Neodiprion lecontei: one gene and its partners. The protein of the gene in region 1 interacts with the protein of each later gene in a pairwise test. Links are inferred from orthologs where the notes say so. Each region holds a gene or a part of one and is shown in the gene's direction. Other genes may lie near its edges.

Evidence for each region. The genes of interacting proteins can lie anywhere in the genome.
Region 2: the proteins of small glutamine-rich tetratricopeptide repeat-containing protein alpha (region 1) and translocon-associated protein subunit delta interact in a two-hybrid assay, tested with the Caenorhabditis elegans proteins (2 studies listed by BioGRID). The link is inferred for Neodiprion lecontei from reciprocal best matches to the Caenorhabditis elegans genes sgt-1 and trap-4.
Region 3: the proteins of small glutamine-rich tetratricopeptide repeat-containing protein alpha (region 1) and metaxin-1 interact in a two-hybrid assay, tested with the Caenorhabditis elegans proteins (2 studies listed by BioGRID). The link is inferred for Neodiprion lecontei from reciprocal best matches to the Caenorhabditis elegans genes sgt-1 and mtx-1.

What each region holds. Positions count from the first base shown.
Region 1 is NC_060264.1:31,908,633-31,914,553, forward strand, and holds small glutamine-rich tetratricopeptide repeat-containing protein alpha, read left to right. Parts: upstream 1-1,951; 5' UTR 1,952-2,002; exon of another isoform or gene 2,003-2,141; intron 2,142-2,598; 5' UTR 2,599-2,620; coding exon 2,621-2,940; intron 2,941-3,238; coding exon 3,239-3,727; intron 3,728-3,915; coding exon 3,916-4,027; 3' UTR 4,028-5,407; downstream 5,408-5,921. Other genes in the region: uncharacterized protein LOC107217600, read left to right, coding at 1-171, 401-645, 722-929, 1,036-1,115, 1,219-1,368.
Region 2 is NC_060265.1:30,905,559-30,909,217, reverse strand, and holds translocon-associated protein subunit delta, read left to right. Parts: upstream 1-1,569; 5' UTR 1,570-1,748; coding exon 1,749-1,997; intron 1,998-2,673; coding exon 2,674-2,934; 3' UTR 2,935-3,127; downstream 3,128-3,659. Other genes in the region: proteasome assembly chaperone 2, read right to left, coding at 3,280-3,659.
Region 3 is NC_060265.1:18,722,656-18,728,091, reverse strand, and holds metaxin-1, read left to right. Parts: upstream 1-2,025; 5' UTR 2,026-2,082; coding exon 2,083-2,163; exon of another isoform or gene 2,164-2,353; coding exon of another isoform or gene 2,354-2,380; exon of another isoform or gene 2,381-2,615; coding exon 2,616-2,866; exon of another isoform or gene 2,867-3,042; coding exon 3,043-3,208; exon of another isoform or gene 3,209-3,283; coding exon 3,284-3,670; exon of another isoform or gene 3,671-4,499; coding exon 4,500-4,574; 3' UTR 4,575-4,904; downstream 4,905-5,436. Other genes in the region: vacuolar protein sorting-associated protein 45, read right to left, coding at 5,065-5,263, 5,426-5,436.

The sequences.
Region 1 (5,921 bases):
TCACATCAAGCGGTCCCCATTGCACACACGAAAATCACGCCGCCGAAATCACTACGGTTTCGTGGATGACTTCCGAGAAGATGCCAACCGGTCAGATCAAGGGACACGTCGAGGCAGAACGCTTGGAAATTGGCGGTTATCTCAGCGATGCCAAGACCTTTATGATCGGGGGTAAAATTTCTTTAATGTACTGTTCGCGTCTGATTGTAGTAAGTTTGAATTGCAGCGGGAGTTTTCTGTGAAACTCACCACTCAGTGCCAGTAAATAGGCAACCCTTGATACACTTCGAACACGTAACGTGATAGAAAATGTAACTTCAGTTGCCTACATGCTGGTGTTGAGCAACAAGTTTCACAGAAAACTCTCGGATTCGTTCTTAATTCTGCTGTAATTTCGCAGAAAAATTCTACGTCGTCCTTGCCATTTACTACGACGCATTCGTCAAATCCCACGAAGTAAATTCATTGGTTTACGAGATAAACTTGTCTAGTGGTGAAATTACTTTGGTGCAAAAAATTCGAACGAGTGGTGCAATCGCTTTGGATATTTTTGCCACCAAGAGGCACGGAATACATCTTCTTATAGCCTGTGCACAACGCCCAGCCGAATCTCAGATCCATCGTTTTAAAATACGCAAATCTAAGGTGAGCAATGCTTTTTTTCTAACTGTTTATAAAATCAAACTATACGCATACGACGAAGAGGTTTACTTCATTTCAGTTTGAACTGTTGAGGAGCTTTCGGACCGGAGGAAGCCAGAATGTCAAGAGTTTGATACTGGAAAACGAATATTTCGTATTACTCGATGATCCTCTGGCCAATTCTGTACACATTTTTTATTACAATAGAATATTTGATAACTACTATTTTTATCAAAGTCTATTTCATCAATCGCTGGTGAAAACTATCGAAGTATTTTATTCTGGAGGTAAAAAATTCTCAGATCACACATACTTGTTTTGCCAAATTTTTGAAAACTTTCTACGCATGCCTTCGATTTCTTTATTAAACACTGCCATTTATTCGTACCTTAGCTTCTGGGACTAGTGATGCCTTCGTAATCGTTACCACTGAAGAAGGACGATTTTTTGTCTACGAATACATGTACTACGGGGTAAGAATAAATCAGAGAAATTTTTTCATACATACTCGTAATTTAGTAGTTTGCAGATACAACATCAGTTATTCAATTGCGAGTTTTGCGTTGTTATGTACAGGGATTTCAATTGCGCATACAACAATGGTTCGACGGTGTTCAAACAATGACACAGTTCAACTATTCTCAACGTCGATATATTTTTGTCGGTGCCACGACAAATAGCACGGTCTACAAAATCGTGCAACAAGGGCCAGTCAATAATTTATAAAATTAAATTTCGAATTTTCTTCAATCACTTGTGCATGTTTAATATTTCAATATTTTTGAAATTAGGAAAAAAGAAAAAAAATGTTGAAAAACAAAAAAAAAAAAGATTGTAAATCTTACCAATAACGTTGTTGAAATTAATTTATACTAATTTATTCTTACATGATCATCATACTTAATCTATTGTTATACGTATATACTATTATATTATACACCATGTTATATGCCTTGTTAAGTGTTATTATACATTATATCGTTATTACTGAAATATAAATTCTGCATTGTTGCCTAAAACAAATGTTCAATGTCGCGTTCAATCCAATTTCTAAATCATTTTAACTTTGTTATTTGACGAAATATCCACCATTTTTTCCACGGATATCGTGAAATGATAAAACTGCTTTAGCGAATTAAGAAGCTCCGACTTCTTGCGTGAGTCGTGGCGTCGTTGGTGCCGTTTTAACAAATGACACTTTGGTTTTGGCGCCGGAGAATGGAGTGGAAATTACGATAGCGCCTCTGGCGGTGGAGAATAGTAACATCCCGAAATCGGCAGTCTCACTTACGTATTTACTCTATGCTCAAAGCGTTAGCCGGCCGCAGCAGTTCAATCTTTTTGGTTATAGGTATAAGTTGTACGTACAAAAAAGGTGATCCGGCCTACCAGCCGAGTAGACACGTAGAAATTTTTATCCTAATCAATCGTTTGCTGTCGCCGCTTTTGCGCTGGTACCACTCGTTTTAACACGTTCACTATCAATTCTTTAAAGGCAGGTTCGTTTATCACACTTTACCATCAATTATGTCGGTATTTATCAACGCGCCTATTTACTCTCGACGCAATACGGATAACAAGTCTAAAAGCAAGTCCTCACCACAAGTTGATGCATACATCGATATTTAAAAACAATAATTCCGTAAGACGTGAAGTCGGACGCGTAAGATGTGCGAAAAGCGGGTAAAACTTGGCGGTTAATTTCCCACTGAGGATGAATGAGCAGATAATCACCGTCCGTAATGATTTCAAATTTTTTTTTTCGCCACCTCATTCCACAAAAAATGGTTCTCTGCGAATTTCTAACGCACAAGAAAGAAATGAATCCATATTCGATTGAATAACTTTAAAGATGGTTCTGCTATTCTTTTATTTGTTCCTTATTTCTATCTTTCTTTCTTGTTAAAAATGTGAATCGGCGGTCTTGATAACTCAAAGACTTTGTTTCTTTTCCAGTAATTATTAACTCAAACTCAAGATGGCAGTAAAAGGATTAATTGCATCGGTTGTGCAGTTATTAACGCAGCAATTGGAGGATGGCGATCTGTCGGATAATTCAAGGGAGAGCTTGGAGGTTGCAATTCAATGTTTGGAAAGTGCCTACAACGTTCAAGCTTCCGATGCTTTGCCCAACATTAATTTGTTAGAATTATACCAAAATGCTGTCGACAATGCCAAACCTGATTTTGGACCTCCGGCTACGCCCGAGGCCAAAGCTGAAGCTGAAAGACTCAAAAATGAGGGAAACAACCTTATGAAAGCTGAGAAACACCATGAAGCTTTAGCTAATTACACAAAGTAGGTGAAACATTAACGAAATCATTTAAAATGTATCAAAGACTCGCAATATTCCTTGCCGATGAAACTTTAATTCGTTTTGTGATTTAAGCGGCCGATTTTAAGAGAACGAAGAATATTTCTAACATGATTCTGAATACTTGATTCTTGCTCTTGTTATTGGTACTGATCAGAATTTTTCTGTAAAATCTTAAATCATTGAAAGGTCGAGAGGCTGTCAAGAAATAATAATAATAACAAGTGATTTTGTTTGCGATGAAAATATTGCAATAAAATACTTTGATCTCTATTGTTTCAGAGCCATTCAATTGGACAGCCGCAACGCGGTGTATTACTGCAACCGAGCGGCGGTGCATAGTAAAATAGGAAATCATGCTCAAGCGATAAAGGACTGTCATACAGCACTTGCGATAGATCCTTCTTACAGCAAGGCTTATGGACGTTTAGGGCTAGCTTATTCAAGTTTAGACAAGCACAAAGAGGCCAAACAGAGTTATCAAAAGGCATTGGAAATGGAACCGGGTAACGAGAGTTACAAAATGAACTTACAATTGTCCGAAGAGAAACTTGCCCAGCAGGGCGTAGGCTACATGGTTCTTGGAAATAATTCGGCTGGAGGAGCAGGAGGAGCTGCACCCAATATGGATTTGAGCTCCTTACTCAGTAACCCTGCGCTTCGAAATATGGCTCGTTTAATGCTCTCTGACCCTGGAATGCAAAACATGATGAGTGATTTAATGAGCGGAAATGTAGAACAAGGAGGCCGAATGGAAGCTCTGATCGAGGCGTAAGAAATCAATCTATTATTATCACGAATGTGAAATGAAAACTTGACGCATCGGGTATTTAAAAATTCATATTGTAAACAAATATTTACAATCTCATTTTTTTATGTAATCTCATATTCATAGAGTTTACATGTAATCATGCTATGCTCGGAATGTTCTAATGGCAAAAATTGGTGTATTTTTCTAGGGGTCAACAGCTGGCACAGCAAATGCAGAGTGCAAATCCTGATCTGATAGATTCTCTGAGACGTCAAATGGGAGGAAATCCGAACGATCCAGAACCTCCGCAAGAAAATTGAAAATCCCGAATAAGACTGCCCCGTTTAAAGAAAAAATCATTCTTTGAGTCGTTATTTTCATTATCAACTGTGCAGAAATATGTAGAGTACCTCGGTATTCTTTAAAATTTTCCCTCTCATTGTTAGAATTATAAAATTCCCGAAATCTCGTCACCGTCACTGACCATCGTCTAAATCTTTAACGATTTGATAAACACACGTCTGATCTACACGTTTTTCCTTCTAAATGACTTGTTGAAGAATTACATGAACTACAGCAACGAATACAACCTGTTTTCAAAATTCAATGAAAACAAGCCTGAAATATGCTCTTTAAAAAGCATTAAGGTGGTCGCGATTCTTAAAAACCGACGTCCCTCGTATACATGTTTCTTTAATAAAATAGACTCTATTATGCAGGCCGTAAAATTTACATGTGTTTGATCAATTCCGGTCCAACTTTTTAAAGTACCACAATGAAATACATTATTATTTCGTAAATTTCGGCAGTCATTTTGAAATGCAGTTTTATTTTATAAAGGAAATCATGATTGAGTTGAAACAAAAATTCATCCTGCGTTTCAAACTTTGCAAAAGTTGGATCTTATTTTCAAACGCAATTTCCAAATACGCTAGAATATGACGATAGAAATGGTGACGAGAGGATTTTTCATCGATTTTGCCATCTTAAATTTTACACAAGACAGCATAGACCTAAGAAAGTCTGGTTATTCCGTAGAACGGGCTGTTTATCGATTCCGGAAACTGAAAGCAACCTAATTTAGGCGAATTTTTAGAGAGTAAAGAGGTATTGGACATTGTATAATATTAGAGATTAGGAAGGCTATTTCATTGGTATTCCAATAACTTATGCGATAGCGCACCACATTGTAACTATTTTTTTCCTCTGTTCGTTCTATTCGATGTTTCGCTTAGGCTTCCGTTTTCTATTTTTGTACATATATATTGCAAAATGGTTTCACGAAAATATACGTTTTTAATACGTATCATGTTTAAACACTATACGTATAAGTATAGCACACGAATAAACGACGATGATTTGCTGCATTTTCGGATTGATCAATGATCGATTGTAAACCTTTAGCAAAAGTTAAGTAATATATGCCTCAATATTATACGAATTGTTGAGTATAATTATGAAGTGAATGCTGTAAAAACTGAGAAAAAAATCAGGGGAAGAATCATGCTAAAAAATCGCCCCTTAAATTATCTGTACACATGCATACATATATACTTACACTTAGGTAGATGCATAGTGTAAAAGCAAATGGGAAAAATCACAATATTATACTAATTTATAAGGTGTTAAATAAAGTATAGACGATTATAAATGAATTAACAATTCAAATTGTGAAATCAATTAATCGATATAGCAAACAATTCTTGTTCCGAATAACTTTCCCTCTCGTTTGACAATGCACTCTGAATTTAGATATACCGTATTTATTATTGTGATCTGGTGGCTGGTACAGGAGAGTCAATAACGAAACTTTACGTTGAATTTTGAAAGAATAACACAGAAGTGAGACAAATAGCATGGTATCGAATAAATTTGAAATTTATCCACGCCGAGAATACGAAAAAACGAATGACCATTTGCTGTAATTTTGCGAAGTACATACACCATGACCTACCCCTGGACCCTGATTCTTCATTCTCCTCATCGGTCTGTTTACAATAATCATCATAAATCAAGCAAAGTTCGTTGATTCCGGTATGTGTCATAGGATGACGTCATGCGATTACCGTGCACGCACACACAGATTTAGTATTGTGCGAATATGTGTATATTACTACGTGACTGGGACGGTTGAACGGACGTGGTTCGTACTCCTTACATATGTATACACGCATGCGATAACACAAATAAGCAACTAGGTACACAGGTATACAG
Region 2 (3,659 bases), on another chromosome or scaffold:
CCTGACCTCAGCAGATTTCCGATTGGCATCATTTCTATGAGTTTATCTGATTTTATTGTGAATAATTACTTCGCTACTGCGAAACGCTATTTATGTCAATTTACGTAGTCGAACTATCGTGTCACTCGTGTCAGACACATAACCTCAAATTATGCGCAAGGCATCCACGAAAAAAACAGGTCGGTATGCATGCATTCTGCAGTGCCAACATAGTCAACTTGGGCACCGATTTTCCATTAGTGGCAACTAGCGCTCTCTTGCGCAAATTGCAATTGAAAAATAGCATAATGGACAAAATAAAACGGCATGGCGGGGGTTACATTAATAATTTCAAACCTTACCTATATTCAGGATCACGGCGAATGAAAATTAAAACCGCAGATTCTTTTCTCTCAAACGGCTCTGCGGTGTCAGTTGATGGATTATAACGTCGCACAAAACTCACCACACAAAAAACAATACTATCAATATAAACCATAACATCCGCGCGTACTTTGCACATTTTTTTCAGTTCAACGCAGACAAATTTCAACGGTACAGGTAGCACGAGAACATTTAGCAATTTACTGATTGTAAAATGGCGGCGCGATTGTTTGTCGATTGTTCGAATACCAGGAAATCACCGATCCTGCTGTAATCCACTGACAAAAGAATGATGACGAGTACGTGTTAGCTATTTTTCATTATAAATTTCTTTCGTAATCAACGGTTATTTAGCCGACTTTTACATTTTATCAACGAATAATCACACTCACAATTATCTCCCCATCTTGAAGATCTAGTTTGATCGGCATGTACTCGATATTAGGGTTGCTGTTGGGAAACAACCGAATTCAGCCCGGCGTTGTATTCAAAACAGCACTAACAGCCCAGAACCATATGCAACCAACTTCCGATCGCTGTTTATATACGATATCGACCTCGTACTGTATCCGCGTTGTAAAAAAAAATTTGAACTCAAACACAATTAATGAATGGACCCACTTCATAATAATCAAGCGTTCTACATGAATTAGACGATTCAAAGTTTCGAACATCTAGGATCGCATTAATTTAAAAGCGGAAAACATCCGACAGAAGGCCTGCAGCCGCATGGGTATTTGTTTACCAAAACAATTGAATAGTAACCCTAGCACCACCAGCTTCAGATTGTAGCGGAATAATACATAATCTGCAGGGGAATCTGTAGTACTGGCACGATAAGCACATTAATGTGAAATTTCTCCTTATTTTGGAAACTTTCTCATCGGTTGAGTTGTTCAAATCTAAAAAAAAAAATAGTCAGTCCTTATGGGATTCTCGGGTCAGAACAATTCTGTTGCATTATATTTATGCAGTACGATCATAGTTAACCGACTGATACCGATAATATAAAATTGAGCGTTACTGGCAGTGTTGACTTACAGACCAAGACTGACAATTGAACAGAATTACTGACTCGTAATGACGCTGCTTCGCGGGAGCGCCGTAAAGTGGCGCCATCTAATCCTAGTGAAACATACTAACTATGTCAAAATGTTGATTTGAGTTTTTCTTGCACATGGAATTAGCTGCCAGCAATTCATGGGCTGACAAGTTGCCATGTGACGTGGCTGCGGTGAACTGCTAGGTGGCACTCGTCAGAGATTCAGCAACGTTTAATTCGTTGACAGAGGTGTGCGTTCAGTGTTCAGAGCCGGTTGTTGCGATCGGGTGCAAAGTGGAGCATAAGATTTGTCACATATTGTATTAAGAGACTAATAAAAAAAATGAACAGGCTCATTGTTTTGTGCATTATCGCCGTCACCACCTCCTTGGCGTTGGCCGAAACTTGTCAAAAACCAGAAGTTTCAGCCTCAGCATACGTTACCGAAGATGCTACAGTCTTGACTAACATCGCTTTCACCACACAATTCACGCTAAAGTGTAGCAACGGCGCCAAAGGTGTTTCTCTATATGCCGAGGTCGAAGGAAAGACTTTGCCCGCAGTCAGACTCAGTGCGGACAACAAATATCAGGTATGTAATCTTAGTATCATCTCATTTCCGTCAATTGACAATCGATGATTGTCTGCCAAGTCAGCTTGCCACTTACAAGGAACATCAGTTTGGTGTCCCCCTCCGATTTCGTTGAGACTCATGTATATTGTGGAACCTTGAAAACTAAGCGACTAGTATTTTTTTTTATCTGCGGAAAAACTGTTTAGAGGGGTGAAAACGACTACCAGAGATGGACACCCAACGGGGTGATTTCTTGATGCGCTTGATGGATTCGAATGAAACCAACGCTGAAATATTTTATAATCGAATAGAAACATTTCAGCGTTGGTTTCATTCGAATCCATCAAGCGCATCATGAAATCACCCCATTGCTTGCCCATCTTTGGGGCTTGGTTTCACCACTTTGAACCGCTTTTCCGCAGATAAAAAAAAAAATATGTGTCTCTTAGTTTTTAATGTTCTACAACATACATGAGTCTCAACAAAATCAGAAGGGGACACTAAACTGATGTTCCTTGTTAGTAATATGGTATAAACTTGTACATGAGGTGAAGCGAATTGTTGTACGAGTTGGATATGAACTATCTCTTCCGATTGCTGACAATTTTTTGTAAAAATATCAACTTTTTTTATAGCTCTATCAAATATCTTGGCAAAAGTTATTTATCACCATTCTGTTTGTTTGGTACTATAGGTCAGCTGGACGGAGGATATAAAGAAAGCTAGATCAGGAGATTACAATGTTAATCTGTACGATGAAGAAGGGTACAGTGCCCTTCGCAAAGCAATTAGAAACGGAGAAGATCCGAGCAGTGTGAAACCTCTAGCTGTTGTTGTCCTCAACAACCCAGGTGCTTACCTTGGACCATGGATAAACTCTGAACTCTTAGCTGCATTCTTAGCTGCATTTGTTACATACACAGCATTCTCTGCCAAATGGAAGCTGTTATCGTAAACTAAGTAATTACAATTTAAGTCATGAATGATATTTTTAACTGCCTCCGGCTTCACTATTTATACTAAACCGTTAATTGGATTCAAATAGTTTTGTAAAATATCAATGTATCCAATATCGAACGATCAATCAATGATTCTCCTGGAGAACCAAAACTGTGACTGAATAAAATTCATTACTTTATCAATTCTAATCCCTAGCTTCTACGTTGTTCACTTTTACATAGGCGAATAAACAGGAAATACAATTACAATTTAGCTGATAATAATTTTTTATTAAGAATTTAATGAACATGATTCATTGATATAAACAAAAAAAAAAAACTCATGATAATTAATATCATATTCAGAACATTTCGAGTGGAGGATCATTGCCAAATAAGAATCTCCAAGACGAAGGTTTTCTGATTAATAAATTACCAGAGGCGTCCTTTGAGAAAAGTTCTAGCCACTGATTTAAGTAGTTAGCTAACTCCATTGCATCTGGGATGTTGTCTCCTTCTGAACAAAATCTGAGTAAGACCGCACAAGGAATATGGTTCTCGACAAAGATATCATATAGGTTTTTGGCAAAACCTCCACCTGGGATTGCAAGGACTTCGCTCCTGCCATATTCATCAATTTTACTTTCTAGATGTGTCCAGTTCAGGCTGTCGAACATTGCACCAAATTCTGATTTTATTTCCGGAGATGCAATGTAACGTAACGGAATGGTTCTGATCTGTT
Region 3 (5,436 bases), on another chromosome or scaffold:
ACCACAGTCATTATTGAATCGTGATCACATTTGTATAATAATAATAATTACCATACACAGTCATAATGTTGCGTGCAATTGACACACCAAATAGTCTAATTTTTTGATAATATTAATAATATAAGCAACAAAGAGTGTACAATACTATAACTTAGACATAACTCTTAGTCATATACACCTACCATAAATGTGTTTTTAATTTGAACAAAATTATTACATTATACTACGCGCATTACATGTAGATAGCTGAACTTTGGTTTTAAAAATAATAATAGTCATTTTAGGTGACACAGAAGAGAAAAAAGAATGCTCGAAGAAAAACTTTTGGTGTCACTACGACTACACATAATGAATTACTATATCAAGACAATTCTTGCTCTCTACAACTCAATATAGTAAACATATTCCTTTTCTTCAATCACATCTAAGCTATTATTATTTTATTTTTGAGTTTGAATACCTTTTTTGAATGTCTACTATATTAATTTCATTTTATTCCCATGTTCTACTAGACATATAATTTGAATGAAAAGAAATCTTGAAATATCTTCAACACGTGTTTGAGTATCAAATTTTATTATTGGTATCGCGTTTAATATAAATTTATAATTTGAGGCAGTTGGCTAAATAACATGACAGCATGTTGCTTCGTACCAAAAGATTTATCCAGAATTATCTGTAACATCAAACGATAAAAAAAAGATGTATCAACGTTTATTCTTGCTAGTATTTTTTATTTCTACTTTGGTTTTTTATTTGTACTACGTACTGTATTCCAATTGACCTCGTGCTAAAAAAAAATTAAAGGGACTCAAAGATGCGGTGTTATTGATTGGTCAGTTTTATTTTTATCTCTTAATTTTTTCTTTCTGTTTACCATATGAGTGTATGTTATCAATAATTGCTACTAGTATTCATGAAATACCTGGTATATAAATCCTAAATCATATTTTACCAGATTATTGTAATGCGCAAACTCTATATAAATGTAATATCAGCATGTGTTTGATTAGTGAAAAACATTTTGAAACCAACTTAAGCATAGGTCATATAATTGGTCAGAGGTCAATCAATTTTAAGTTGCATACTTGACTGCATAATTTCAATTACGTATACAAAAAATAATACGAAATCATAATGATGATGAGAAAATAAACCAGTATCAAAAATGGATAGAAATTTTTTTAAATATGCAGAGATATGTACTCTAAGTATAATCGATTGTGCCTCTGAAAAATACCTCCGAATGAATCAATTATGTTTTCAAATCATTATCTATAAGGCGTGTCTATATAATAGCTATTGGCAACTATAAGCATGTATATACATGATAAATATAATAATAAACCTAGAAAGTAATTATCAAGAAGAACACGAGCCGTTTCATTTCATCCTAAAATTAAAACAATCTCTGATAATTGACGGTGTTAGTTCAAACAAAAAGCAATCACAAGGGCATTCGTTTTTTGAATTCTAGTGGTTCAATAACTGAAGTTATGTATTTCCATCATGTAGGTAAAAAATTATACAGTCGCATCTTTGTTACCAAACTTGATTTCAAATAATACTAGTACATAGTTTCTAAATGAAACGATATATTATTATTCACTCAGCAGCAAAGCACTAAAAAAAAAATTCTCATATTAAAGTTCCATAGGAAAGCAAGTGTTTCAAGAAAGCTACACAAGAAAGACCTGTGTACTTGATTTGCAGATTGTAATTGTGGATTAAATAAATTTCATAGTTCCGTTTCAGCTTTTAGTATACCATACAAATATGATTACAATGCGGTATACATATACTCTGCGCGAGACTAGCTTCAGTTTCCTGATTTCCTGATGTGCAGGCGTATCTGAACATGAACCAAATTAACATTATATTATCAACTAGTTTACCTACCAGGATGGGATTTCGAACAGTCAATCGCGAAAAAATTGTGAAATTTCTTTTTTTTCACTGTTCGTCGTTGTTGGCGCTTGTCATGTTTACATAGGACAATCACGTGCGATTGGAAAACATTTATCACGCACTGGTAATATATTTATTTAATTGTCAATTTTTTGTGATTTTTCGAAATTCGAAATGAATGAGTCGTTTCAACTAGACGTCTGGAAAGGGGATTGGGGCCTTCCTTCTGTCGATCTTAAGTGCTTAAATATTTTGGTATGTTCTTCAGTCTTAGTAAGGTTATGATCATCAAACTTGCATTATTCCGCATCATTATTTTAACAGAAAAGCTTCTTATCACATCGCAGTTTTCAAGATTTGATTATTAATCCCATCTTCAAATTGACCTGCTGAATAATCAACCAGAATATCTTATACACAGTTAAAATATCGTACCCTACCATCAATGTTTTCACAACAGCGAGAACTTCAGGTGTTTAAATTCAACTTGATCTAGATGTTTCCACTTTGTACCTTGTATTGTCATCTATTGATAGAAATTTTTATTCCTCTTACTGGTTATATACTTGTGTAATTAACTGGTTCTCAGGCAAACTTTTTTTTTTCTTCAAAGACTTAAGTAGATTGATAATCATCTTTGTATTGAAACTTTACGTCAAAATTCTCACAGGTATTTTTTCCTCACATGTCCAATAATTATTTTGTAGGTCTATGCCAAATTTAGTGGAGTACCGCTCAAGATAAATCCTACTAATAATCCATTTCGGACACCAAACGGTGCACTACCTGTTCTCCGATGTGGTAGCGAGACTTTAGACTCAGTGAAAGATATAACTGCATTTTTTCGAAAAAAGAATTACACAGCTGATTTTAGTCTTACTCCTAAACAATGCGCTGAGGTCGTCGCATATGATACTATGCTTAAGGAGAAAATTTACCCGGCACTGCAATATGTTTGGTTAGTATAAAATAATAATCATTACCTACTAACTGTGCAGACAACAATCATGTCAAATCATCTCGTAGATCTGAATGAGTAAGTGGGAAATGTTAATTCATAGGCTTCAGAAACACGCTTGCGTGCATATGATTATCAATGCCCTAAACGTTAATTTTAGGTTTCAAATGTTACAGGTGGGTTGATGTAAAGAATTACAATGAATTCATACAGCCATGGTACGCCAAAGCACTACCTTTTCCTTTGAATTTCTTTTACCCTGGTAAATTTGAAAGACAAGCTAGGAACATGATGGAATCGCTGTACCCAACTGAAGGCGAAATCAGTGCCATAGAAAATGCGGTAAATAGAAATATTTTACAAATGCTAGTATTTATTTATTTGCACATCTTCAGTAATTATCAACTAAAATTGCAGGTGTATTCTGAAGCACAGAAGTGCTTGACACTGTTATCGACTCGGCTGGGAGAAAGAGAGTATTTCTTTGGCCCTCACCCTACGTCTCTGGATGCAATAATCTATTCATATCTTGCACCTTTGTTAAAAGCTCCACTGCCAAATCCTGCATTGCAAAATCACCTCAAAGCCTGCACAAATTTAGTCAAGTTTGTAACTCGTATATCTCAGAAATACTTTCCGGACATATGTCAAGAATATGAGAGGAAAAAAGCTGAAGAAAGTGTTAGAAAAATGCGAAGAGATTCAGAGAACGAATTTCCCCACAAGAAGAGAAACCAATTCCTTGCTGGCGTTTTTGCTACTGTAGCCATGGTCGGTTATGCTTTATCCACCGGCATTGTTGAGGTATGTAAGTAAGGATAAGTTGCATTAAAGCACTCTTAAATACAGCTCCAAGATATACACATAAATTATTAATAGATACTAGTCCAAGATTTATACAAACACAAAATTACGTGAATGATATTATTAAATGAGGCTTTAGACTAGTCTGTTACACCCATTCTTAATACTATGAGATCTCGATCTCACTGATCTTCAGTTCATAATTGCTAAGATAATGGTTTTTTTAACATTGTCACAAATCCTTTATCTCACATAGTTAACCAATCCTAATTTCATCATTATAACTTGTGTGAATTCCAATTAAAAACTTACAACAAGAATTGTTCGTCTTAGCTAATTGCATGGATGTGTCTGAAAAGGAAGATCTAATCTGTGTTTAAGTATGTTACAAAATTGTAAAAGCTATTGACTGATTCCGTATCAAAATTATCTCCCACACATCACAACAGAATTTCTGGAACAACAAATCGTTAAGGATCAGTAGGGCTCGAAAAAAGGATTTGTGAGCATAGATCTAAATTGATATAGGTCAATTCATAATCAATGTCATAATGTTAAAACCCCGGAGGTCCCTTACAGATTCCGAATAGAATGAAATTATGGGTGAAATCGGTAGGTACAACGAAAAATTCTCATCCAAATATGAAAATGTTATGGTCACTTGACAGATTCGTATCAAACAAAGAAACCTGGTGTTTTGGTATGTAATTTAGACATGCCCTATTAACGAACTGAGCATTTTCATACAAGTCTTTTCAAATTAACACCACACTTACTCCAATATTATGCGAAATAATCACTTGCGAAAAACATTATGTATCTGTTGAAGGTAACAAGAAATGATGACCGGATGTTGGAAGGGCCACCGGACTACATGCTTGAAGATCACACTAGAGATGAGTAGTATTTCGATATCAAATTGAATTTTAATCTCCAGAAGTGAAAACAATAAAAATTGTAAGATGTTAATAAATGGCCGTTATTTTCGAATAATGTTTACCCGCAAACTAGTACGTAGTCGTTCAATACTGTAAATCACAACTTTTTAAATCACTAGCTGTTTCTTTCAACTGAGATTATTCGAGTGATTTAGTTTAGACTTATAATCAATATTTGCAGTTATACGGTGAAGTTACTCAGATAAATTTTCATAAAAAAAACAGTTACTATCACGGTACAACGTATTATAAACGGACCAATGATTATGAAAGAAAATAAAAAAGAATGGCTTACATATCACTGACTAATGCAAATTCGGAACAGATACAGACATTATCCAGTGTTAACTATTGTGTACTTGAAGCTTGAGACACGTTTTATGCAACATAAGTGTAACAGCAGTGAAAAGTAATGCAAATAAATATTTAGTTACAGTATTGTTGAAGCTTTATTAGTTAGTTATTCCTACTTCGATATCTTCTTGTTATACTATTAGTAGCGCTTTGAATTTCCTCTGTGAACGTTTGGAAATTGTGAATTGTCGTACCACCTAAAATTATTTTTGTTCCTGGATTTTGTTTATTCCAATTATTCACAGCGAGACTTTCTTCATAAGTCGCACCGCCCACTATGAAAACAATAATTTCTTGAGGTCTGAAAATTTAGATGAAATCAAATACATGAGTACTGATTCGTGTAGTACCTACATTATATGGGAATTATTCATATTGCTTTGGAATATTATTATAATGAACATACCATTACTACGGTTTGCCATAATCAAAGAAGTATTCCAATAATATTCGTTCTAAATACCTTTTTGACAT